3 linked regions of the Lepisosteus oculatus genome follow. The protein of the gene in region 1 purifies or fractionates together with the protein of each later gene. This does not show direct contact. Links are inferred from orthologs where the notes say so. Each region holds a gene or a part of one and is shown in the gene's direction. Other genes may lie near its edges.

Evidence for each region.
Region 2: the proteins of traf3ip2a (region 1) and cd40 purify together in Homo sapiens (affinity purification with western blotting, with the first as the bait; 3 studies listed by BioGRID). This does not show direct contact. The link is inferred for Lepisosteus oculatus from reciprocal best matches to the Homo sapiens genes TRAF3IP2 and CD40.
Region 3: the proteins of traf3ip2a (region 1) and ikbkb purify together in Homo sapiens (affinity purification with western blotting; 3 studies listed by BioGRID, with this or other methods). This does not show direct contact. The link is inferred for Lepisosteus oculatus from reciprocal best matches to the Homo sapiens genes TRAF3IP2 and IKBKB.

Annotation. Positions count from the first base shown.
Region 1 is NC_090697.1:5,434,915-5,442,813, reverse strand, and holds the start of traf3ip2a (E3 ubiquitin ligase TRAF3IP2), read left to right. Parts: upstream 1-4,880; 5' UTR 4,881-4,954; intron 4,955-6,366; 5' UTR 6,367-6,408; coding exon 6,409-6,424; intron 6,425-7,084; coding exon 7,085-7,783; intron 7,784-7,899. Other genes in the region: probable G-protein coupled receptor 139, read left to right, coding at 1,024-1,096, 2,194-3,200. UniProt on the Homo sapiens protein: E3 ubiquitin ligase that catalyzes 'Lys-63'-linked polyubiquitination of target protein, enhancing protein-protein interaction and cell signaling. Transfers ubiquitin from E2 ubiquitin-conjugating enzyme UBE2V1-UBE2N to substrate protein.
Region 2 is NC_090711.1:10,843,728-10,851,825, reverse strand, and holds the start of cd40 (tumor necrosis factor receptor superfamily member 5), read left to right. Parts: upstream 1-5,010; 5' UTR 5,011-5,095; coding exon 5,096-5,122; intron 5,123-8,098.
Region 3 is NC_090697.1:65,873,173-65,880,790, reverse strand, and holds the start of ikbkb (inhibitor of nuclear factor kappa-B kinase subunit beta), read left to right. Parts: upstream 1-4,541; 5' UTR 4,542-4,871; intron 4,872-7,618.

The DNA of each region.
Region 1 (7,899 bases):
CTGTAATAACTTTCAGTTGCCTTTGGGTTGTCAGTTTCCTTGTAAAGGCTAAGATCTTCGTTTTTTGCCTGCGTTCAGTGGATCGCTGCTCCGCACTTTGTCACCATCACTTTGCCCAAACCTGCCTCTAGAGGAGACTGATGAGAACTCTGTATTTCTTCATTAAAACGTTTTTTTAACCGTTTGTACATTATTTTAACTCAATACCATGCGGTTACGTCTTTTAGAAGTTTTACATTCACAAGAAAGAAAAAGTTTAAATGCTCATGTTTTATTTTTAATTAAAACTCTCCTGAAACCGATGCCTTGTGAACTGTATGATGATTCGGTATGATATGAGGATTTTGATGATTGTCAGATAAGCCGATGATAGAAACCCAACAGAGAGTATGGTTAGATGATGAAAGGTACAGTATGTGTATACCTGGATCACACCAGACGCCAATCCCTTACAGGACACACACGTATTAACGTTCATTCATTTTCTAACTGCTCTGGCGGTAAACAACAGGCACAAGTCCATCACAGGACACACACACACACACGCCAGTTTTCCCAGAAGGCAATTAACCTAGCACTATGTTTTTGAACTGTGGGAGGAAACCTGAGCACCTGAAGGAAACCCACATGAACCTGGGGAGAACATACAAACTCCACACAGACAGGACCCCAGGAATTGAACCCAGAGCCCCAGAGCTGTCGGGCAGAAATACTGACCACTGAGCCACAGTGCAGCCCTCTCACACACATCAAAGAGAAGTGATTCAAGTGTGCCAGTTAAACTGTATAGGATGTATTTGAGCTGTGGAGACTTGAGTACCCAGAGGAGAAAAACAACTATAAGAATATGCAGTTATGAAACCCCCAAGCAGAAAGAACCAGATTTGAATCCAAAAGCTGTGAAATGACAGTACCAGACACAGTGCCACCACACCACCCTGCCTAAAACATCTCCTGTGATCAATGTTTACATTTTAGGTATCAACAGCTGCTATTGCCTGATGCTGATGAAGATTGCGAAGGATGGGGGGTACAAATATCTTGATTGCCATTCAAAGGGTCTATTACCCGTTACTGTTTTCAGTTGGATTACCAGGTTTGTTGGCGTTTTCGTTTGTTGTGTGATTGTTGTTTTTGGCCACGCAGGTGGCAGATGGCAGTATGAAAACAGACCCTGGGAATGTAATGATATTATAAAAACATGGTACTGTTGTTAATTGTTGTTATTGCCAGCAGTTAAATCACCCTGCACCTCACAGCTGGCAGCCCACTGAATCCCAGCAGGTGTGAGCCTGGTCAGTACCTGGAGGGGAGACTCCTGGGAAAGCTAAGGCTGCTGTTGGAAGTGGTGTTAGTGGGACCAGTAGGGGCGCTCACCTTAACGCTGTGTGCTGCCTTGATGCCACAGTAATAGTGATGGGGGACACCACACTAAAAAAAAGGGTGTAGGTGTGGGTCTGTGTGGGTCCTAATGCCCGAGTATAGTGACGGGGACACTATACTGTAAACAGGCGCCATCCTTCGGATGAGACGTAAAACCGAGGTCCTGACTCTCTGTGGTCATTAAAAATCCCAGGGCGTTTCTCGAAAAGAGTAGGGGTGTTACCCCGGTGTCCTGGCCAAATTTTCCATTGGCCTTTACCCATCATGGCCTCCTAATAACCCCCATCTCATTACTCTCCTCTCCTCCCCACTGAGAGCTGGTGTGTGGTGAGCGTTCTGGTGCACTATGGCTGCCGTCCCATCATCCAGGTGGGGCTGCACACTGGTGGGGGTGGAGGGGATCCCCATTACCTGTAAAGCGCTTTGAGTGGAGTGTCCAAAAAAGCGCTATATAAGCGTAAGGAATTCATAATTAATATTATTAAATGTGGAATTTTCTTCACACTTCTCACCTTGTAAGCCTCTGCTTCATGCAAAGCAGGACTAAGAAGCATTTTAATAAATCCTTTGTCCCCAAACCTTATTTAGCCAAAAAAAAAAGTCCTTTACTCTTCTTCAGAATATAAAAAAATGCTGCCAAAAGTGGACAAATCCTATAACTCACCTAAAGAAATGCATTTTGTCATCTACATTTACAGCATAACTGTAGCATTTATCTAGCAGGGAACGATACCACGTGAAAAAAAAAAAACAGGAGCTCCCACCTAACTCACCAAGTGCTGAGCAAAATGTCTGCTTTTTACTCTACAGCCAACCTCTTCACCTTCTACGTGATTAGGTTTCGCAAGTGTGGCATGTCCGAGACGGCCGCCATCTACCTGAGCTCGCTGGCCGTCGTGGACTCCTGCTACCTGGTGTGGGTGATCCTGCTGGACCTGACCTTGACCTTCGCGCAGGCGCAGCCCTTCTGGCACGCCCAGCCCTGGTGCAGGATCCTGACCTACCTGCAGCACGGCTCCCTGTACAGCTCCTCGTGGATCGTGGTGGGCTTCACCGTAGAGCGCTACCTTGCGCTCAGGATCACCGGCCTCAAGAGGCGCCTCTCTCGGTGCAGGGTCACGGTCTGCGTCACCCTGATGATCGTCGTCTTCTCCCACGTCGCATCGGTCCCAGTGTACTGGATCAACGACGTCAAGCCGACGAACCTCACCAGGGACGGCGAGAACGTCACCTTGCCCAGGTGCGGCTATAACAACACGGAGTATTCCACGGTGCTGGTCTGGATCACCACCTTCCTCTCTGGGGGAATCCCCATTCTCCTCGTCATCGTCTTTAACACTCTGATAGGACACCACCTCCGGAGGGCCAGCAAGATGTTCACCAAGGAGGAGAGGCGAGCCATCAAAGGGGCCAGCGCCAAGAGCATGGTCAGAAGAACCATCTTACTGCTCTGCACAGTGTCCATCACCTTTGTAGTCTTGAGTCTCCCGCGGTTTGTGACATATTGCATCTTAAGAACCACCTACAACTACCAAGGCTTCAACAGAGACGACTACAGCCTGCCCATCAATGTCATCAGTGACCTGGCCAACATGCTGCAGAATCTAAACTCCTCCACCAACTTCCTCTTGTACTGCATGGTGAGCAGGAGGTTCAGGCAGGAGCTGCTCGGCTTGCTGGCTCACAGGAGCAGAGCGAGGGAACTTGGGTCCCTCACCGCCCAGACAACCATGAAAGTGTTTTCTGTCATGGATCGTCCAGCCCACAATGCAAGGGTGGTGAACGTGGTTCTCACAAAACTGAAGCAAACTCAGTAGTTCACTGACAGCGTCTTGTAAAAGCTTTCAATATTTGTGAAACTGAGATTTTTCTAAGAGATGTCTGCATTCTTGTACTTGTTTTAACTTGCCTTTCAAAAGAAGTGATGGAGATTTCAAAGTAAATTACAAATGGCATACAGTGCTCTTTCTCCCCAAGTGCTGAATGTGCGCACAGTTCTGGAGCTCTGTTTGTGCGAGAGGCACACAGCACGACGGCACGACAGCACACACTCTGTAATCCATCCATCTTTCCACCCATTCCCGAACCGCATCGTCCCGTTCACGGTGGTGGGAGAGCACTCGGTGCTGGCGCCCCGGGCTGCCGTCTGTGTGACGCTTGTGTGCTCCCCCCGTCTTCACCTGGGGTTCCTCCCACACTCCCATGACATCAGATGAGGCCCGGGCCAGGTCACGCTGTGGGGCCCCCTCATGGTTTGGGAAGAGGGGGGAAAAATATTGGAATGTACAGAATAGTATGATGGGAGGATTAAGGCGGGCATTTTGGCACTCCTGAAGAAGGGTAGATTCAGCACTGAAAGGGGGATGTTTTTTTCACAGCCGTGGACTTTAGGCGAGAATCACAGCATGTGGTAAAAGTTCCTAATCGGACTCGAGTAGAGAAACACAGCCAAAGGGTTGAAGTGGGGGACCTCGCACCTTGAGGTGAGGCCCCCCTTTGAGGTCAGGCCTAGGTAGCTACACCCCAACAGCCCAGCACACACATCCACAGGGATTATTGCCTGTGTTGCGCTCCAGACACAGTCCTGACGCAGAATGCAGTCAGTAAAGCCAAAAACGTTGAAAGATTTTAATTTTCTGTCATGGTTTTCTTTTGAAAATATTTTTTTTCCCTGTCCTTGCACACTCAGTTTGGATTAGTCCATTCCAAAATCAATCCAGTTTACCACTGGAGCCACAGGACTGGGAATGGGAAGAACACAGAGACAAATATGTCCTCCTCCATCATGTGTACTTGTCAGAGTTCAGCCTCTTTTTTACTCTGTGAGCCTCAGTGATATCGACTGGTGGTCCATCTACAGTATGTGCCTTATTTACTGATTTAAATGTAATTACTTTTCTCTGGAGAGATGAGAACACGGAGGCATTCGTTTTTCATTCATGATACAATACGTCTTGAAAATGTGTTCACTGCAAAATGTTATTAGGAATACTCTTCTTTCGCATTCCTTATTACAGCATTTTGAAAGAGTAAAGATAGTATTCTGATGCCGCTAACAACTTAATCATTTCCTTAGTTAATAGTTTTTTTTTAATGGCCTAATCTCTTTTAGAAAACGACATTGCAAAAGCGAAAGGTTTACTGCTTTTAAAACTCCCAGACTAATCGTCAGTCTTTAAGAAAGCCAGGTGAATTGCAGGTGTTCCGCATTTTTAGTCTCACTACATGCCATTTTTCTTACAGACGAACTTTGTCATTAAACTTTTAACAAAACAAAGCTCCGATTATTTTTTTTTAACCTGCAGAAACGTTAACACCTCTCGCCTGCCTTTGTACGCTTCCCGACTTCGGAGCGAAATTCCTTCCGCTGCTGAAACTTTTTTTTCCGATGGGTGGACTCTACCTTTTAAACTTTTTGTGAAGAATTTGCATATTCGGAGTTATTGTTCTCCCTGATTTGCATTTAAAATTATTTCCTTGTGAAGAAAGAGCCGCGGGTTCCCAGCAGGACAGCTACCTGCGCGTTTCCTTCTACGCCCACAGTCAGTCCTCTGCCGCCGCTGTTGGGGAGGTAGGAATATTGATCTCCGGATGCTTTTAATACAAAACACTTTCCTGTATTGATTATTTTAAGCATTCAGACAGAAACCTGTTGTGTAAAAGAAAAGGCGAACTGGTGCAGTTAGTGCGATTAAGCTGAACGTGGGAATATATGTTCATTTTGACTTTGAAAGCCTTCTTGTCAGATCAGGATGAAAAAAGACAAGGAAATTCGGAAAAGTCCAGTCATCAACAGTAAATCAAAAAGCTGTTTTTTTTTTTTACTCAGTTCATGTTCAACTTTGTGGTAGTGTTTACCGTTAATTTTTTTTTGCAAATAGTGTTTAATCACTTAAATTAGCCAGCTCGTCGCTGAATGAGGTGGTAAGGTGGTTAATGACGAACTGGACCGGTGTTAAACATTGGTACTGTACATGAGTCAGTGTTTGGTGTTAATTTCAAGATGATCGCCAAGTTCCCTGCACTCATGCCTACTGTACATGTATGTACATGAGGGTGTAGATCCCTTTGACTTTTTTAGATGGTTTGATTTCTTTAAAAAAAAAACCCATCTGTTCAGTAATACAAATAATGAAATAAACTAGTTTCAAAACACTGTCACGTAGACGTACCTTCGCCTATTCTTTTAAAAACGTTTGTCCTTTTTTCTCAATTATTTGGATTGACCATACAAATAAGATATTGTTTATTATATCAAAATATATGGCAGGGTGGCTCAGCTGCTGGTAAAGATGCACAGTGTTGCACGGCATTGCAACCCAGAAATCTGATAATCTAAATTCAGATCGCTATTGCCTAAATTGTACTATTACTCGCTGCTTTTCGGGTGCTTATGTTTTACTGAGACACAAAAACATTTGTTCTCTCCAGTGGAGTGTAAACTGTTACTGTCTATATATGAACTGTGATCCCACAGGTCCGTTTGTATCACTGGTGTCTACCCTTTGCCCACGTAGGCTGGAAAGTCTTCGGTTTGCGCAAAAGCATAGTGTGACAAGTGGCTTTTCGAGGAAGTCTCCATCTTGGCTCAAAACCCAGGCCCTTTGGCGTAGCCCTGAGCCAAAATGGGGGCTTGCTTTCACTACCGCACACAAGGGTTGGAAAAAAAGTTCTGTGATGATCTCTCAGCTCTCTCTGATGCAGGTCACTGTATTTCTCTGTGTTCTTTTCGTCTCAGTAACATGAATGTGTTGTAGCCATCTTGCCTGATGTCTCTCTCTCAGTGCTGGAGACACTCTTTCAAGATGTACACTCTTCACCAACTTATACTGTACATATGTATCCCCTTAGCCTGCTGTAAATATGATGCCATAGTAACTAGTTTTAATTTTTGTTCAATTGACAGGGTAGTAGGCTCGTTCATTTATTTTCTTGTTCGAATCGTGTGCAATACATTCTTCTCTTCATCGTTTATCTTCTCAGCACAAGACGTTATGTAAGAAATTTCAGCTGGTTACAAGGACAATGGAGTCATTCATAGGTAAGATCCAAACGTATTTGACACAAGGCTTTACATTAAAAAAAGTGAACTAACAAGTTCATTTAATAAAACAATGCCGGTGATATTATTCAACGAGAATCATGTGGTTCTGTGATTTCTGCATCATTATAATCATGGAATTGTTATATGTTCTACTCTAGTCTAATATGATTTAATCATCAGTTCTGACACTTAGATTCTGAGTCAGAATTTGTCTTGAAAAGAAACTAGATTAGCTCTCCGAATAGACCTGTAGAAGTATTAGTTTGTTTGAGAAACAGGAAAGGAGCACGTTCCAGTGATAATGTTAACGTCCTGCAAAGAAGCAAGCAAAAGGTTCATTCCATACCGAAAAGAGAAGAAAGGAAACACAACGTTTCGCTGTGGAGCCTTCTTCGGGAAATTCTTTTCTTCTCTATTCTGCAGGGAACAAACCTTTACCTGTTCCCTTCCAGCCTACGCCTGCTGACGCAGCTCCCTACTGGAACTCTTTTTACACTCTGTCTTCCTTGTGTCTGAAAACAGAGCATAAATGTCAACAGATAAGTGACACTGGGATAAGTAGGGGGAGAGTACACTGTAAGACAAATTGTTTTTTTGCTTTGAAGGATTTCTTTCTCGGGGGTCAGACCCTAATTGTTTTGTTGTCTTTATCTGAAGACTTTCGTCCTCTCAGAAGCATTCCCGTGGAGACGGACGAGTCCATGGTATTCTTGGACGTGCTGGCGAAGTGTAAAGACCAGCCCTGTGGGACAGCGGGAGTCTGCTCTGGACAGCCGGAGGTGACGGTGAACGAAGTGGCACTGTGCAGGTCCGGTGTACAAGACAGCTTAAGTGGCAGAAACTATTTCCAGGAGAAGAAACACCAAACGGGCGCTTCTGAGGAGGATACAGGGCAGAGTCCTGGAAAAAGTCCCTTCCCAGCAGGCAGCTGGGCCGATTCGTCCCCAGAAATGCGCCGGTTCGAAATTACACAGGCGCCAAGAGGACCCGCAAAGCCGACCAATACCTGTTTACAGCAGCCGGGCTCTTCAGAAGTCGGGCCCTGCCCCGCCGTCAAGAGACGCCAGCTGCCCACAGAAAAGGACTTCGAGAGCGAAGTCGGTTCTGACTCCAGAGAGAGTGCCAGGCCGTCTCTGCTGAGCAGACAGCTGGACCTCCCCAGTGAAGACACCGGCTACGGGTCCCAGCCTCGGAAGGACATGGATGTCCAGCTGCAGGACCCCCCGCTGTCTCTGCGGTCAGACCTGGGCTGCCCTGTAGGCCCCGGGGTTGTGATAAACAGGGGTGAAGGATCTGGGCTCTGGCCCACAGCCCACAACAATCCACAGCAGCACCACCATTACCCAGCTCCTCAGCGTAAGTTAGACCTTGGATACTTCTGATCTTGACCTGATCTTGACCTGATCTTGACCTGATCTTGACCTGACCTCGCCTCACCTGACTTCGCCTCACCTGACCTGAACTCATTTGAT
Region 2 (8,098 bases), on another chromosome or scaffold:
TCGTTTGTGTTTCACTGTTAATTCTAAGGAAGTCCAATAAGCCCAGTGCCTTTAATTAAGTCACTGCTAGACTTCTCTTTTAGAGACAATAAAGATTTCTTTTAGCTAGACAAAATAGGAAATTCCTTTGAGACCTGGAATATACCTTACCCACTCTGGATTGATTCCAAAGCAGCTGTACTGTATCTTTTTTGTAACTTGGTGGTTAAACTTTAACGTTTATTAAAATGAGGTCATTCCACTAGGGCATTCCACAATTTTAACATAAAGTCCCTTTAAAGTATTCTAATTGACTACATATTATAATATTACGTGCCAATTTTATAGCTTTCACACAGTGTCTAGAAGATGAAAACTATAGTATGTCAACATAAAAACTTTTTTCACACATTGCTAATTTCAAGATCACTGTTTCCTCTTCTGTATTTCTAGTTTGTTTTTGCTACATGAAGACTCTTCAATTGTCTGCATTAAATATCATCCGGCAGAGGTGTGCCCTGTGTTGAACTCTGAAAAAGATTATTTCTCATTTATTTTGTGGTGTTTTCTAACCTGTTTTTGGTAACACCCGTATCAGCATTACAGAGTGATCCTAACACAGACCCCTGTGATACTGTTTTGTTTTGCTAACTGCATCACCCCAATCTGAATTCTCTGTTTTATAGTCTTTAAACAATTCTTAATTCAAATACATGATCAAGTCTAAATATACAGATATATTGACCAGTATGTTTATATATATTATATGTAATATACTGGTATTATTTATATCCTGATATTATATACAACAGTACTGCATATACAACCATACTAGTTGGAAGGAGGACAAATAGTTTGACACACTGAATAATATGTTAGAAGGGAAGGAGTTATATGTAACATAAAACAGGAAGAATCTGGAATATTATTGAAAACACAGAAGTGGTTCTAAAAAGAGTCTCTCGGCTTTTCCCACAAATGTTGTCAAAAGGTCAATATCCCGTGGCTTTAATGACTCTGCATGACGTGAATTGGAGATTTTCATAAACTCCCAACAGACAGATGTTTTACAGTAATTTGAAAAAATAACCAGCCTGTGATGATGGGTTTCCATTTAGCCAGAAGAAAAAAAAGTCTCTGGCAAAGAAACATTTGTCATCCTGTTCCTGGTTTGTGATTTGCAATTTGGGGGTAGATTAGATCAAAATCAGGTTTGATTCAATCCGAGCTGTAGATGGATTTTCTGTCCTGGTATAAACTGCAGATCAAAGCTGCACAGGTACACAGTCAGACAGATTGAATTTAGATGGCTGTTTGTGGTGAGAAAGATAAGACATTACAAGATTAGATAGATAAACTAAACCGATTGTTGTTAATTCATAGTTGAACAGAAAATGTTCTGTTCAGAAATAATTAAGAAGCATTGAGCAAATGTTTGCTTCATTCACTACACAATTATTTATTTTGTAGCAGCAACTTCAACTCTCTGTGTTAGTTAAACACAATCATGGACTAGCTTATGAATCATGGATTTATATATGGACAGATATTATGTTTTCTTTTAGGAAAATTAATTTATAAACATAAAGTATAAATAAGCATAAACCTACTATTAAAGAATATGTTTGACTTCAAAATGACTCTAATTTGTCCATCCCTTCATTTTCAAACCACTTTATCCAATACAGGGTTGAGGGGAAGCTAGAATCTGCAGTATCTGGGCAAGCAACAGACACAGACATAGACACAGACACTCAATCACACTGGGGTCAATTTTCACAGAAGCCAATTAAATACAGTACCAGCATGTTTGTGGACTGTGGGAGGAAACAAAAGCAACCGGGGGAAGCCCTTGTATTGTAAACAGAACATTGAAGGTGATTTTTATTTTAATTGTGATACTAACAAAGCTTTCCCTTACATTGGTATACAGTACCTACTGTAGGTAACTACAATAGGTTGTGGGTTAATGATGATCAATGAGCAGTCCAGAAACACACTGTATAAGATCACATTAAGACCACAGAGAGAGGGAGAGACAACAAGAAAAGGAGAAAGTAGAGGTGAGGAAAGGAGGTCAGACCACATGAGAGAAGTTTGAACTTGAAGCTTACACCAGGCGAAAGCCCCTACTCCATGATCATCCAAACAAAAACCTGATTGGAGCTTATTATCTGAGCCCTGCTAGAGAGAGTTTGCAATTCTCTGTTTTTAGGGAACTTGGCTTTCCTGGGTAAAAGATACCTTGCTTAGAGATGTCTTTCCTGCTTGTGAGTGAGCTTTTAGAATAGCTCCCATTTATTTTGTGGCATCCAGGTGCAGAGAGAGAGATTTAACTGCAAGTTGTTTTACATTTATTTAGAAGGCAGCTTATCTCTTATTTGGCCTCTGTAGGCAATATTTAAAAGTTTCATACTCAGTAGAAGTCTGGGGGGTTTTCTGAGTGATAAGAATGCTAGGCCTCTGAAATGCCTTGTCTATAAATATTGTATACATAGAGTAATTGTGTTTTATATGTTTTGTTGTGTGTAGTATAGTGTTTGTATTGTCATCATTAATAAATATTTGTTTAACCAAGTGTGCCTGTATTATTACTCTTTTCAACAAAGCTGTGCCAGACAATAAAGAATTCAAGTGCCTCTAATTATACCAACTGCTTGGGTATTCTAGAAAAATCGGTTATGAACAATTCTTTTACTTATTGGCTACTGCTTGGTCAATTCCTGACTTTCACCATTTTTGTAACCCCCCATTTTATCAATATCTTATAAAACAGAATTGAGAATTCTTATCTCAATCCATGCCTGCCTTAGCCTGCACGGACATTTAAGAGTTATCAGTGTAAAAATATAAGTTAACACAGTAGAGGTCAGGCCAAGTGAAGAGAAGAGTCCCTAGAACCAAGCTTTGTGGAACACCAAGATTCAGTAAATCGGTGTCAGATGCCATTAGTCCCAGAGCCACAAATTTCTTTTCAACAGAAACCTGGATCCAAAACAAATAAGAGCTACCCCAGAGATTCTAACATAAGTCTAAAATGATTTATTTTATTTTATGAAGTATTTCATGATTAACAGTGTCAAAGGCAGCACAAAAGTCCACCAGAACAGCCAACACTCCTGAATCTGAAGCAGATCATTCAACACCCTCACCAGGGCTGTGCTATGGTGTTGTCTGAAGCCTAATGGAAAAGTATGGAGAAGAATTTGTTTCTCCTTAAAACGTTGTGTAAGTTCTGCAAGTTCTAGAAAAGAGGTACCATAACCAAACACAGAGTTTTGTGAACATAAAAGATATCAACTGGCTTCATCTCCAGCGGCATTCGGTCTGTTAATCCTACTGCTTGGCTACTCTGGTTGTAGTCCACTAATTCCATTGCACTTATTCAGATGTTAAGGTTTAAGTACCAACCAAAGATGTGATATCTTATCACAAAGTCTAAAGTCTTTACCCTTGAGGTTTTGTAGCTTTTGATTTTCAGTGCTTGGAGGAAAAACTGAAGGTGGTGGCATGCTTCATTTACAATAGTACAGTATCCAAAGAGGACAGACAAGTGAAATGCATATTTTTTCACTTGTGATATGATACATGCATTTCAATAAGTGACTATAATATACTGTATTCATTCAAAGTGTCCTACTTGGGGGACCATTCTGTTTTATGTGACATTACTCTGAAAAATTATAACCATTTTCTTGAAGTGAAACTACCATCTTAGAGTCAGACATGGTTAACAAATTTATGATGCCAAATGAACAATGAGTGAGACATGCCATCACAGTGTGTTGCTGAATTTCCCAAATGAGAAAATATTGCTACTCATCTTAAATCCCCTTCTTTCTATTGAACTCCTGGACAGGATTCTTGTTAAATTTCAGGTGTTTTTCTGGGTATAGATAAGAATGCAACAGGTGACAGTCACTACGAACAGCAACAAGTTACAATACTTGCAACTAGATGAAGTCTATTGTACATATATCCAGTCTTATAGTTTCTCTTAATATACAATATGTAAAGTTGTATATAATGTTAGAGGATAGAGGACGTCTCATTCTGCATATACTGTAGTCAATACAAGGTAAATACTGTACTGTGGGAACCTATGGGCAACCCCGTGCAGCATTGGTCAAACCAGACTTAAAGGTACAGGATCCTAGTCAATCTGGCAGAACACATTCATGAGCCTAAGCGAGACGTCACATGTTTTCTCAATAAAATGACAATAGTAGGCAATAACAAAACATGAAGGCAGATATTCACCTGCACTCAATGATTTTTTTTTATTATTATTCACTGCAACGAGCACATGGGATGTTACCAGAATCTCCTGGGTTTCTATTTTTTTTTCCATTGATTCAACTTTTTCCTGTCATTTCTGGTCACACACGGTCAAGCATGGCCATTCGCACAAAATATATCAGTCAATCCAAAATTGTTGGAGATGGTATTTGGATCAATGGACAATACTGCTGGCAGTGTGGGAAGGAAAATTACTGTCACTTGCATTTGACACAGTTAATTGCTCCAAGTAGGATATCTGTCCCAACTCACATTACCATGCAGATTAATGATGGAAAGAAACAGAAGCATTAGAACAGGTTACAGTATCATAGTGTCTGCAATGTCAGACTCCATTCCAGATACAGACTGCAGCTTCACAGTCTTAATATCCCTGTCCCCAAAATACATTTACAGTATGTAATATGACCAAATGGCAAAAAGTGGCAAGAACAGGAATTAACCCCTAATCCTATCATGTTATTGTTTCCAGAACAGACAATTTGCAATTTGGATATCTATTTACTTACTGTTCAGATAATATCTGTACAGCACATAGTGTAGGTTTACAAGTACTGATAGAAACAAATGGCCTAGCCTCTCTATGTGTATTTTATGAAAAAGTTATGTTATGCATTTGTATTAAAATTGTTATAGTGGAAATACTCAACGTCTGGTGAGAATTTGCAGAGTACTCTGGAAATCCCCCGTGCACAGTGATTGGCTGGAGCAGGTCGGGGTTTTGATGTAGCTAGCTTCGACAACCGCAGTCGACACATATCGAGCAGTCAGTACGGTGCAGTACCCGACTGAGAACAACCCAGACAACAGTGCAGAAATGAAGATTTTCCATATCATCGTGGTGGTAAGTACCTGGGCGTAGCGATGTACAGTATGTACAGTAGTTCGTAGAGCTAGAGTTTTGACCATTTTAAATGTTGTAAAAACGACATACTTTCATGTACTTTGAAATATGTCTGGGTTCCTAGTGCAAATGCGATATACTGTAGTGTGTTATTACTGTTATGCTTGGTACAGGAGCGCGTTAGGTTTCTATCTGTTATTTTCTTTTTAAAAATCACTCACCAGTGTCTAGGTGGCAGGGGCAGTCAGGCGAGACACTGCAGTATGACGTTAATGTTTTTACTTTCGATTTCTCTGCACGCAGTCCAATTTACAGCTTTATTTTATGTTTATGTACAGCATGTAGTCGCTACTACTGCTAGATTGAGAATCTGGAGAAAAGTAGACGCTATTGAGACTTGGTTGTTGTGTTAGGGATGTCACCTCACAAGAGAGGACCCAACTCCCACCTTCTCCCACCCATGCAGATGATGTGTCGTTATGGCGTAATAACAAATACAATTTGCTGTATTTTCGCTTTCTTTCTAACAGAAATACGACGCATTGTTTTAAGAACACAAATCCTCCTGGATATGCCTAGATGCTACTTTTATTGCATTGACCTATACTTTTACCAGTACTTTCCCCTTTGCTTGCATACAGTACGTATACGAATTATCGATATAATTTATAAATATAATTGAAGTAATGAAAAAAAAACTACAGACTTTATGCTTCAACTGTTTTTTTTTACCGGTACGTGAAATAACGTTAAAATCCGAGACAGTTCTAATAAAACTGAAGAATCTGTGATATTTAGTAGTCGTACATGCCGTAAATGATCATCATGTCAATTCTTTTGGTATATCTTGGGCATTGCAGTGATGTTTTTCTAACAGTTTTAAAGCATTTCAATGAAAAACAGTGCTTTTCAATTGAAATTCGGGGGGTATGTTGGGGACTTTTGGCTGAACAGCATAGTTTTAGAGAGGGACTTTCCGTAAAGGAAGCAAGTTTAACCGCTATATCTTTATGTCTCTGGCCTTGAGAGATAAATCTCTTCATTTTTTAAACATTAAACTTCTGAATGTAAAATGAATAGTGACCCGTATATATAAAAAAAAGCACTTTGCCTCCTTGCATGTGCAGCTGATCTTTCCGTTTCTTATTATTCAATGTTTCTTATTTATTTATTCCAAAAGAAAGTCTTGCAAAAATATTATTTAACGGATTTTATAGGGTGTGGTGTTGATTTCAAAATGTCAGATGTCTTTAAAATCATATCGATCAAATGAAAACGTTTTAATAAACAGGACGACGGATAACTTTATATACAGTTACTATTTATAAAGTTTACTGGTATCATATAATTTTGTTTGTGCTATCCGTGAATGCAACAGTTTCTATTATACAAACAGATGTCAGTATTTCTGCACTTGGTAGTTCAGTGTAATGACCTCTGTTTATGTTAATCATTTTACATCTTGTGCATCAGACAATGTTTTACAATTTATGTTGACCAGGGTTCACGGCTCTTACAACCAGCAGTTTTGCGGCGGTGTTGAAAATGCCGACCCCCATCGTTAATTTCACACGCTCTCTGCTATCTAGCTGAACAGAAATATACACTTCTGGCTGCTGATTTGTTTTTAAGGTCTGTCTGACTAATACAAAGATTGCGATATGAATGTGCACTCACTTTCAGAAGACAGACAATCACAAAGTCATTATTGTGTACACAATTATACACACACCGTTATTGCAATTTTTTCCCTTAAAATATCCGTGTATACAGGTACGGTATTTATAAAGAATAGATATAATCTTCTTCTATTTATTTAGAATTTTTTATTTAGAAAAAAGTAGGTTTTCTGTGCCGTTTCGGTCCTAGTAAAAGTTTCGGGTTTTCACACAACAGATGAGGTGTTATCGTTTTGATCTAACCACATATGAACACGTATGCCATGCAGGTGTTTTACAGTGAGGCTAGCTTGTTTCTTTGTGTGTTTAGTTTGAGGTTACTTTGGGAGGAACCTTAACGTTTAAGAACTGCTTTGTCACTAGTAGCAAAATAGACAAAACAAAAAGGCATACTGTATATCTGGGTCTGGAAACATTTTACTTCTTGAAAAAAAAACAACATCCTTAGATGTAGAAAACATTGTGCACATTATTTAATTTTTTGTGTGCTCATTGTGTTGGAAATGGAAATAAGTTACAGCATATATTTTTAATGCACAATACAGGTAACAAAATATTGTGTATTGTGTATTAACACAGTACAAAGTTGATCACATCACCACATCTGGTTTAAATATTTGGATATAATTTTAAATACCACTTAGAAATGTCACTATACAGCAATGCTCTCCAACCTTGGTCCCAAAGAGCTTCGATCCAGTTGATTTTGTACAGTACCTGTTTCTAAAGCTTGGGAAAGCCCACTAATTCTTGGCCATATAAACACGTACAGTATACAGTTCAATTAAGAGAATTTTGTTTGTCAGAGGTCTGAGGGGTACTTAGAATTGTTTTTCAACAGGTGATTAGTAAATTAATTTAGCAAATCCCTTCCTGCTTAATTATTCACAATGAAGCTGCTCAGAGACTTTAGAAATAATTGTAACTGTAGGGTCCATGTGATGGTTGTTAACATTCTGCCGGTACAGAATAGAACATGATGGAGACGAATAATCTTCACACTTGTTCTCCCTTTCTCACTTTTTGATTTCCACATTTCCTTGTCACGTTCTCCCCCCATAACTAATCAGAAGGCACAGAGTCACAGTACCGTAAACCTAGCCACCAAATGAACCAAAGGACTCCACACGACTCAAAAACACTACAAACTCCTCAACGGAAGAAAACGCAAATAGGACCTAAGGTTACATCATGATTTCATGACCATGCATGAAACCTGCTGCATTGGGGTTTTCCAGGACCTAGGTTTCCCAACAGGCCTCATATCAGTTACTATAGGCATGTTGTGACAGAAAGA
Region 3 (7,618 bases), about 60 Mb from region 1:
CAGGCTAGCGTCGAGAGCGGACAAGCCGCAGTTGGTCCGAATGGTCTTTCCTCATTCCAGAAAGTTCCGGCTGTTTCCCAAAGCTACCACCTTCCAGGCAGAGCGGTCTCAAAAACGGCCCCATGGCAACCGGGCCGGGCAGGGGCCTGGCGCCACCCCTGCCTGAGCAAACACGGGCCGGGCGCGGGGTGATGTCAGCCAGCCGGGCTCCATGCAGCCCTCCCAGAACGGTGAGCCAGGGGCATGATGGGCAATCTCGGGAATCCCCCGGGAAAGGGAGCGGAGGAGGTGACGAGGAATGCGGGAGGGGGCCGAAGACAGCGGAGCTGTGTTTGTACCTTAGATATGTTTTGATAAGGAGAGGAGGTGGGGCCAGCGTGTGCGTGAGTTCACTGCTCATGTGTCCCCGCCGTTATCGCTGGCCAGCAGGAATGTGTTGGAGAGTGTTCACAGTCTGCCGCTCCGCAGCGTGGGAGCTGGAGTTATCGTCAGTGAACCCCTCAGCTAGAAACATCCTGTACCTCAAAAATTCTTACTGCAATTTGGGTAGTCCCGTCCACAGATCAACTCCTTCAGAGCCAGCTGAAAGGAACAGGGTTCACACAGATGCCTTTGGTTGTCTGGAAAAGGAAATAAAAATAACAGTAATGTGATTTATTTAAGCGTGACGCCACTTCTCCACTATGTCGCTTTGTATAGACGCTGCCTCAATGTACAAAAAACACAAGTTATCAATCTGTGTAATTGATCTAATCTAATTGATCAATCTGTATAATTTAAATGATCTGAGATCTCATCTGGCTGCTATTTGAAGGCTTCAACTACACAGTCTGGGTAGCTTGTTCCATACTTCTGCAACCCTTTGGGTAAAGAAGTGTCTCCTGCTCTAGGTTTTAAATGCCCTTGCACGTAGTTCAGTTTGTGCCCCCTGGGTGCTGTCTTACTGTCGATTTTGAAAAGTTATGTCTTTATTCAAAGGTTAGCAGAGTGATAGAAAGAAAAAATATCATGTTGTTCATTGTAAAGTGCCCTTAATGGACAAGAAGATGATACAAGCAGCCAGGAATCTCAAGTGTTTTTTTAAATGTGAGATAGTCTGTCATTTATCATTTCTTAGACAAGCGTGTATTCAGCCCCTACAGGGGCTCAGCCTGCTTAACCAACCACCTGCCTTCTTCCCAGCATTAGCTAAATCCTTATAGCTAACAAAGATAAACAACTTTAAGATACATTTTCATAATCGCTAAATCTATCTAAATGTCTAGCGGAACAATGGGCTTAGTAGAACAATCCCATGTTTTTACCTAAGAACATAAACTCACACAGACGGATCAGGTTAGAGAGGAGAGGCGACATATTTACGCTGTCCGCTCAAGAACTTTCAAATTCATTGAGCTTTATTGGCCTGACTGAGGAATTACAATGTTGTCAGAGGATTAATAATTAGCAGAACATTTACAGACATGTACAACTGCAGGATATTATAATTTGAGAGGCTCCTTCTCTGTTCCTTTGGCTGTGAGAGGAGATCACACACCAGGCTAAAGACTATGGCCAGGCTGTGGTCACTGAGCCTGTCCTCTCTGGGTGTCCAGGTCTGCCTGTGTCCAGTTTCTCTGGCCAGGCTGTGGTCACTGAGCCTGTCCTCTCTGGGTGTCCAGGTCTGCCTGTGTCCAGTTTCTATGGCCAGGCTGTGGTCACTGAGCCTGTCCTCTCTGGGTGTCCAGGTCTGCCTGTGTCCAGTTTCTATGGCCAGGCTGTGGTCACTGAGCCTGTCCTCTCTGGTTATCCAGGTCTGCCTGTGTCCAGTTCCTATGGCCAGGCTGTGGTCACTGAGCCTGTCCTCTCTGGTTATCCAGGTCTGCCTGTGTCCAGTTTCTATGGCCAGGCTGTGGTCACTGAGCCTGTCCTCTCTAGTTATCTAGGTCTGCCTGTGTCCAGTTCCTATGGCCAGGCTGTGGTCACTGAGCCTGTCCTCTCTGGTTATCCAGGTCTGCCTGTGTCCAGTTTCTATGGCCAGGCTGTGGTCATTGAGCCTGTCCTCTCTGGGTGTCCAGGTCTGCCTGTGTCCAGTTTCTATGGCCAGGCTGTGGTCACTGAGCCTGTCCTCTCTGGGTGTCGAGGTCTGCCTGTGTCCAGTTTCTATGGCCAGGCTGTGGTCACTGAGCTTGTACTTCATCAGGGTGGTTTGCTTCACCCTGTTGTTCATAACATGCTTGAGGTGCAACAAGCACATGTGTGTCTGATAATAGGTAATGCCGGCCCAGAGACATGGGATCATGAGAGGTCAGACTGGGGTCAGTTAGAGGAGTCACAGGTGTGAGAATTCAGTCTCCTCTCCAGCTCCCCAGTCGGTATGTGTGAGGGAAACAGCTGTGGATCCCAGGAATCTTGTGCCGAGCCCCTGTCAATGGGCTATCGGAACCAAATCTTCTGAGCTAATCGAAACGCAGCACTTGTCCCGCCACCCACTGGGCCACACAGCCTGCCGAGCAGCACCAGAGCACGGCCTGTCTCTGACTGTAATGTGGACCTGTGCTGTCTGCCTCCCCCGAACTGCGCACACACATCTCACTTCCTGGAACCGATTACACCTGCTCCTCCTTTCTGCCTGTCTGCCCCCACCCCCACTCCTCGGATTTCACAACCCCCCCCCAGTGTGGAGAAGAGACAGGGCACAGTTCCCACTGGCCTCACCCGCTCTCTCTCCCGGTCCTTCTCTGAGCTTCTCCGGACTAATGTATATATTACATTAATAGATAATTCATCATCATCTCAGGTTAATAAAAACCTCAGGTCGTGACAGGAAATCACATACTGGGCTGCAGCAAACAGAACTGAATTCTAAAGCAGTAGCTGATCTTTTTTGGCACCATGTTCTGGTGCTGTGCGGCCATTCTCAGCCACCCTTGTCCTAGTCTGAACTGTTGTTTCTTCGGATTGTGAGAGAACGCACCACTGCTGGTTCTCTCGAACGTCACACGTGTCTCCTGGACTGCCTCAACGGAGACCAGGTCATCTGCTGTTGCGGGACGGTCAGCCCTTCCTGTGACTGACCCAGCTGGGGGTCAGCAGCTCGGGAGGAGAGGAGGGACCGAGAGTGTGGGGCAGCTCTCCAGTCCATTGCTGGGCCGAGGGTAAAGCAACAACCTGACATTGCAGAGAGGGGCTCAGCCAGCACATCGTTGGGAGTTGGGAGGAAACCGGTGCACCTGGTGAAGTCCCAAGGGTGCACAGCGAGAACATGTAGACTCCCCTCAGACAGTCACCCTAGGCTAGAATCAGCGAGCAGCCGCAAAGACCAGGACAGCAAGACTGCACCCCAATTGCTGCTACTGTTATTATTATCATCAATTTCCCTACGGGATTAATAAAGTATTATCTATCTATTACTCTTATTGGATTTACCGCTAAGCAAAGCACAAACACAAAATCCATCCTGCCAAAAAATGTCAGATTGCACAAGGGTACAACAAGGGTAGAGCCGTGGGGTTTGCTGGCAGCTGGCTCCTCACCCTCTCTATTCCTTCCTGATCTTCTTCGTCTTCTTGGTGTTATCCCAGACTACTGACGGGATGTCCCGGCAGAGAATCCAAAGCCGCAGACCGGCACTCTATGGCACCACCGCCAGTAGACAGAAGGTGTTGGGCAAAATCCAGGTGACCATCCATTCGGATTCTCCCAGACATGTCCTCCTTTTTTGCCCCTTAAAACCCCACCCTGGTGGAATTTTCAAATGTCTTAAAAGTTTTTCCTTTAATCTTTTTCCCCACATTCTTTTAAAACGGTTCTCGTACAACAAATATCTACTGGAGACATCACCAGTACCCCCTTCTCCCAGCCCCCACACCCCCGTCCTCTTGAGAGAATATCCCAATCAGCTAACCCCGGATACACTTCTATAAATATTACCTGCACCCCCCCCTACGCCTCCTGTGTGTCCTTGTTCGGATGTGTGAAATATGGTGACTCTAGGCGAAACGGAAAGTCGCAGTTGGGGCGCGCTGAGGTACTGGGAGAGGTGAATTCCAGAATAACCGTTCACAGTCTTAGTCATGCAACTCATCGCACTTGACAGCGCAGAGGGCAACACAGCAGCCGAGCATGTGTCTGGAGGAACAGGTACAGTACGCTCCCATACTGAAGACACGGGGGACTTTGTGGACTAGGGTGGAAGGGTGAGGGATAAGACAGCGCAGGCACACTTGTCTGTATGGCCTCGCTGTAAATGTGAACGAGTGCTTTGAAACAAAACCAAAAAGACGAACAGTATCTGTGGTGTCAAGAGCTCCACAAGAGGCTGAGAACCGACAGTCACGCTACACCGCAATTCCCCCTCTTCAAACATAAAACACATAAAAGTGTCGACCTAGTTTCTACATGAAGAAAAAAAGTATTACAATGCGTCAAGAGCAGCTCGGTCACGATACACTAAAGCAGCTACTGGAAACGCGGCGGCAGTCTTCCTAGTGACGTCATCACGCGCCAGCGACCTCACCAACCACGTGACTGCCAGGAAGCTGCCTTTTCAGGAAGTGAGTCTGACAAACGGAGAAAGTTTGCAAACAACTTCTCTTCTTTTAAACGGATTTAAAGTTTGTAAGCTTGCATACATAATTTTATATCTCTGACCTTACCGTTATTCAGTTACTCGTAGACCACTGAAAAAAATCAACATTTTATACGTGGAGTTCAGCCACAGCTGGCAAAAAGAAATATAAAGATCTTTTTTTTAAGTTTTTTTTTTTACGATCATGCCTGTTCGTCATTTATTCAGGGATTTGTCTATGAGAAAATATCCACTGAGACTGGCGTGTTTGCGGCGTCGATTTTAACACCTTGACAGAAACACGTCTCCGTTATCGACGCAGGTAAGAGCTCGATATCGCCTGTGAAGCACATTCCCTCTCCCTGGTGGTGGCAGATCTCGACAGCCGATACAGAGCTGTTCCACTCCCTGTGGGGCCTTTTTCTGTCTCACCTGCTCGGAGCAGGTAGCACCAGTACTCTAATAATAATAATAAAAAATATGTGAGAATCTTACAGTATTTCTTTCCTAGTCTGAACGTGACCTCACTGCCTGTGGGTGTATATATTTACAGTATATCACCTCTCTTGCACTGTCTGTGTGACACCCTGTTTCCTGCAGTGTGAGCACTGTGAGTGCTCCTAGCGTCAGCGGCCATAGTGTCCAGGACTGTAGTCCCTAGCGGCCACAGAGCCTGCTGGTGTGCACTCTTCGCACGTGTTCCGAATGAGTGCATCCAATCCGTTGAGTGACCCTTTCCCAGGTTCATGACACGGATGTGAGATCGTCGTTAGAGAGGTCAGAACAGCATAACCAGAGCTCATTTGGTTTTTAACCCACTATGGCAACACAGTCCCCTAGAAGTCCTGCCTGCCCTGAATTCTGCAGGGAAAGGGAATGTGAATACAGATACGGGGTGATGTAAATGGTGAACTAGCACAAGGATCTGTACTGGGACCACGGCTCTTCCTAATACTGTATTGATCAGTGATTCTGATGTGGGTCGTCAACTAGTCAACATTGCAGATGCTACTAAATTAGGATGATTGTCAATCACTGAAGAAACTGCAAATGGAAAATAAAAACATTAAGATACATTTCAAAACTGGGCAAACACTTGGTGGGAATGTTTAATGGAGACAGATGCAGGATTATGCAGGTGGAAAAAAACACTCTTTAAATGCAAAAGGGCAATCGCTGAGTTAGAGGAGACTACTGATAAAATAGACTCATGTAAATAATGTGCCAACAGAAACACCTCTCTAGTCAGTGTGGGGCAGCAAAATGCCAGAATATAAAATTTACAAACATAGAATTTAAATGAAGGGATCTTATTTTACAGCTGTGGAATACACAAGTAAGACCCTATTTAGAATATTGTGTGCAGTTATGGTCACTACATTAGAGAAAAGCTATTGGTACTCTGGAATCAGGCCGAGGAAATTTCTTCTGAATGGAAAGCAAAAGATGAACTATTGGATATAAGGAAAAAAAACAGCTGGAACCTGTGTTTCAGACCGAGAACAAGAGGCACTTTTTTGCCCAAAGAGATGTGGGAGTGTGGAACAAGTTACCCAGCCGTGTGGTTGAAGCCGCTGTCCTGGCTTCTTTCGAGACAGCTGGAGGAGATCCTCCAGTCAGGACAGGAGGCACTACTTTAGACAAAGGGTGGTGGGAGTGGGGAACATGGTATCAGCTGTGTGATTGAAGTCTATATCCCGGCTTCTACCAAGAACTCTACAGCTGGATGAGACCTCCGGATCATTTAACTAGCTACCGAAGGAGCTAGATCAGGCCTCCTCCCATTTCTCATTTGCTCTTGACCGCCTTTTGGTTCATCACCGTTCACTGCCATCGGGGGGAATGAGCTAATGCCTGTAACTGAAGGCATTTAGAGGGGTGGAGTGTAACAGAGCTCCTTTGTGTTTTGAGTTATGGTGATGAATCCCCTGTGATCCTCCATAGTCTTGGATTCTCCGGCTCTAGGAAGGAGAGAGGGCGCCTAAATGATGGTGATCCCAGCAGGGGACGAGCTGCACCCACCACACACGTTCAAAGATTGCTCCTTTGTTTTGCTAACAATGATTTAGAAGCTCATTTATACAGCAGGACCTTTACCAGAGCCATTCAAAATATGGCCGCAGTGTCCCACTAGGCATTCAAACCCGCAGCCCCACACTTTGTCGGCTAGTTTTTCTGTGTTTTTGTACCCGTTTTTGTCAATGAAGGGGTTAGTCAAGAGCTGCCATGCTGGCTTATATGCCATGCTGGTTGGTGAGCTGGGAATGGTGGGAACTTGACACCTTGTGTAGCCAGATCAGTGCTCTCCTAAGTGAGAGATTCCGCTGCCATACGTACTGGTGCAGGAGCTGTAATATGTATAATGCCACATGAACACTTTGTAAAGCTTACCCAGTTCAGGCTAACAGTAGTCCAGAGCCTATCCCAGGAAGCATTGGGTGTGAGGCAGGATACACTCTGGACAGGACAAGCTCAACAGTGAAGCATTAACTGGCACTCCCTTGAGACTAAAACAGTGTATCTGAGAGGCCCTGTGGTTTTCCACCTGGTACTGGAGGAAGCATGTTCAGAATCACTCAGGGTAAATACCTGCACTCGCTGCTGCTTTACAGCACATCAGAAAGGTCGCAGGCAGTCGGAGGGCCATGTGGCCCCATCTCTGCTTGCTGGGTCGGCACAGGCCTGTCATCCCAGCAACCCCGTCAGCTTCTGCAGCATGGCTGGCTGGCTCGTTTACCTGCTGCGTGTGTGGAGGAGCTGTGGGCGTCATGTCCCGTGTGCCCTGTGTTTTCAGCAGCTCTTCCAGTGAAGGCGCACAGATGTATCCAGTTTGGAATGAGCTCGTCTCACCTGTGACCCCCTCCAGGTGCTTCACACGGGCCTGCAGCCCCGACAGCCCTGGGCTACGCTGGTTATCGACTGGTCCAGGGTTCACCTGTCGGTGCATGGGGGGGGGACCCCACTAGGGACTAATCCTGACTGGGGGCTCACAGCATTGTGAATGGAAGTAAAACAGAGCAGATGCATAGAGAGGAACTAAAGTACGTGTAGCAATTGAACCGATGAACT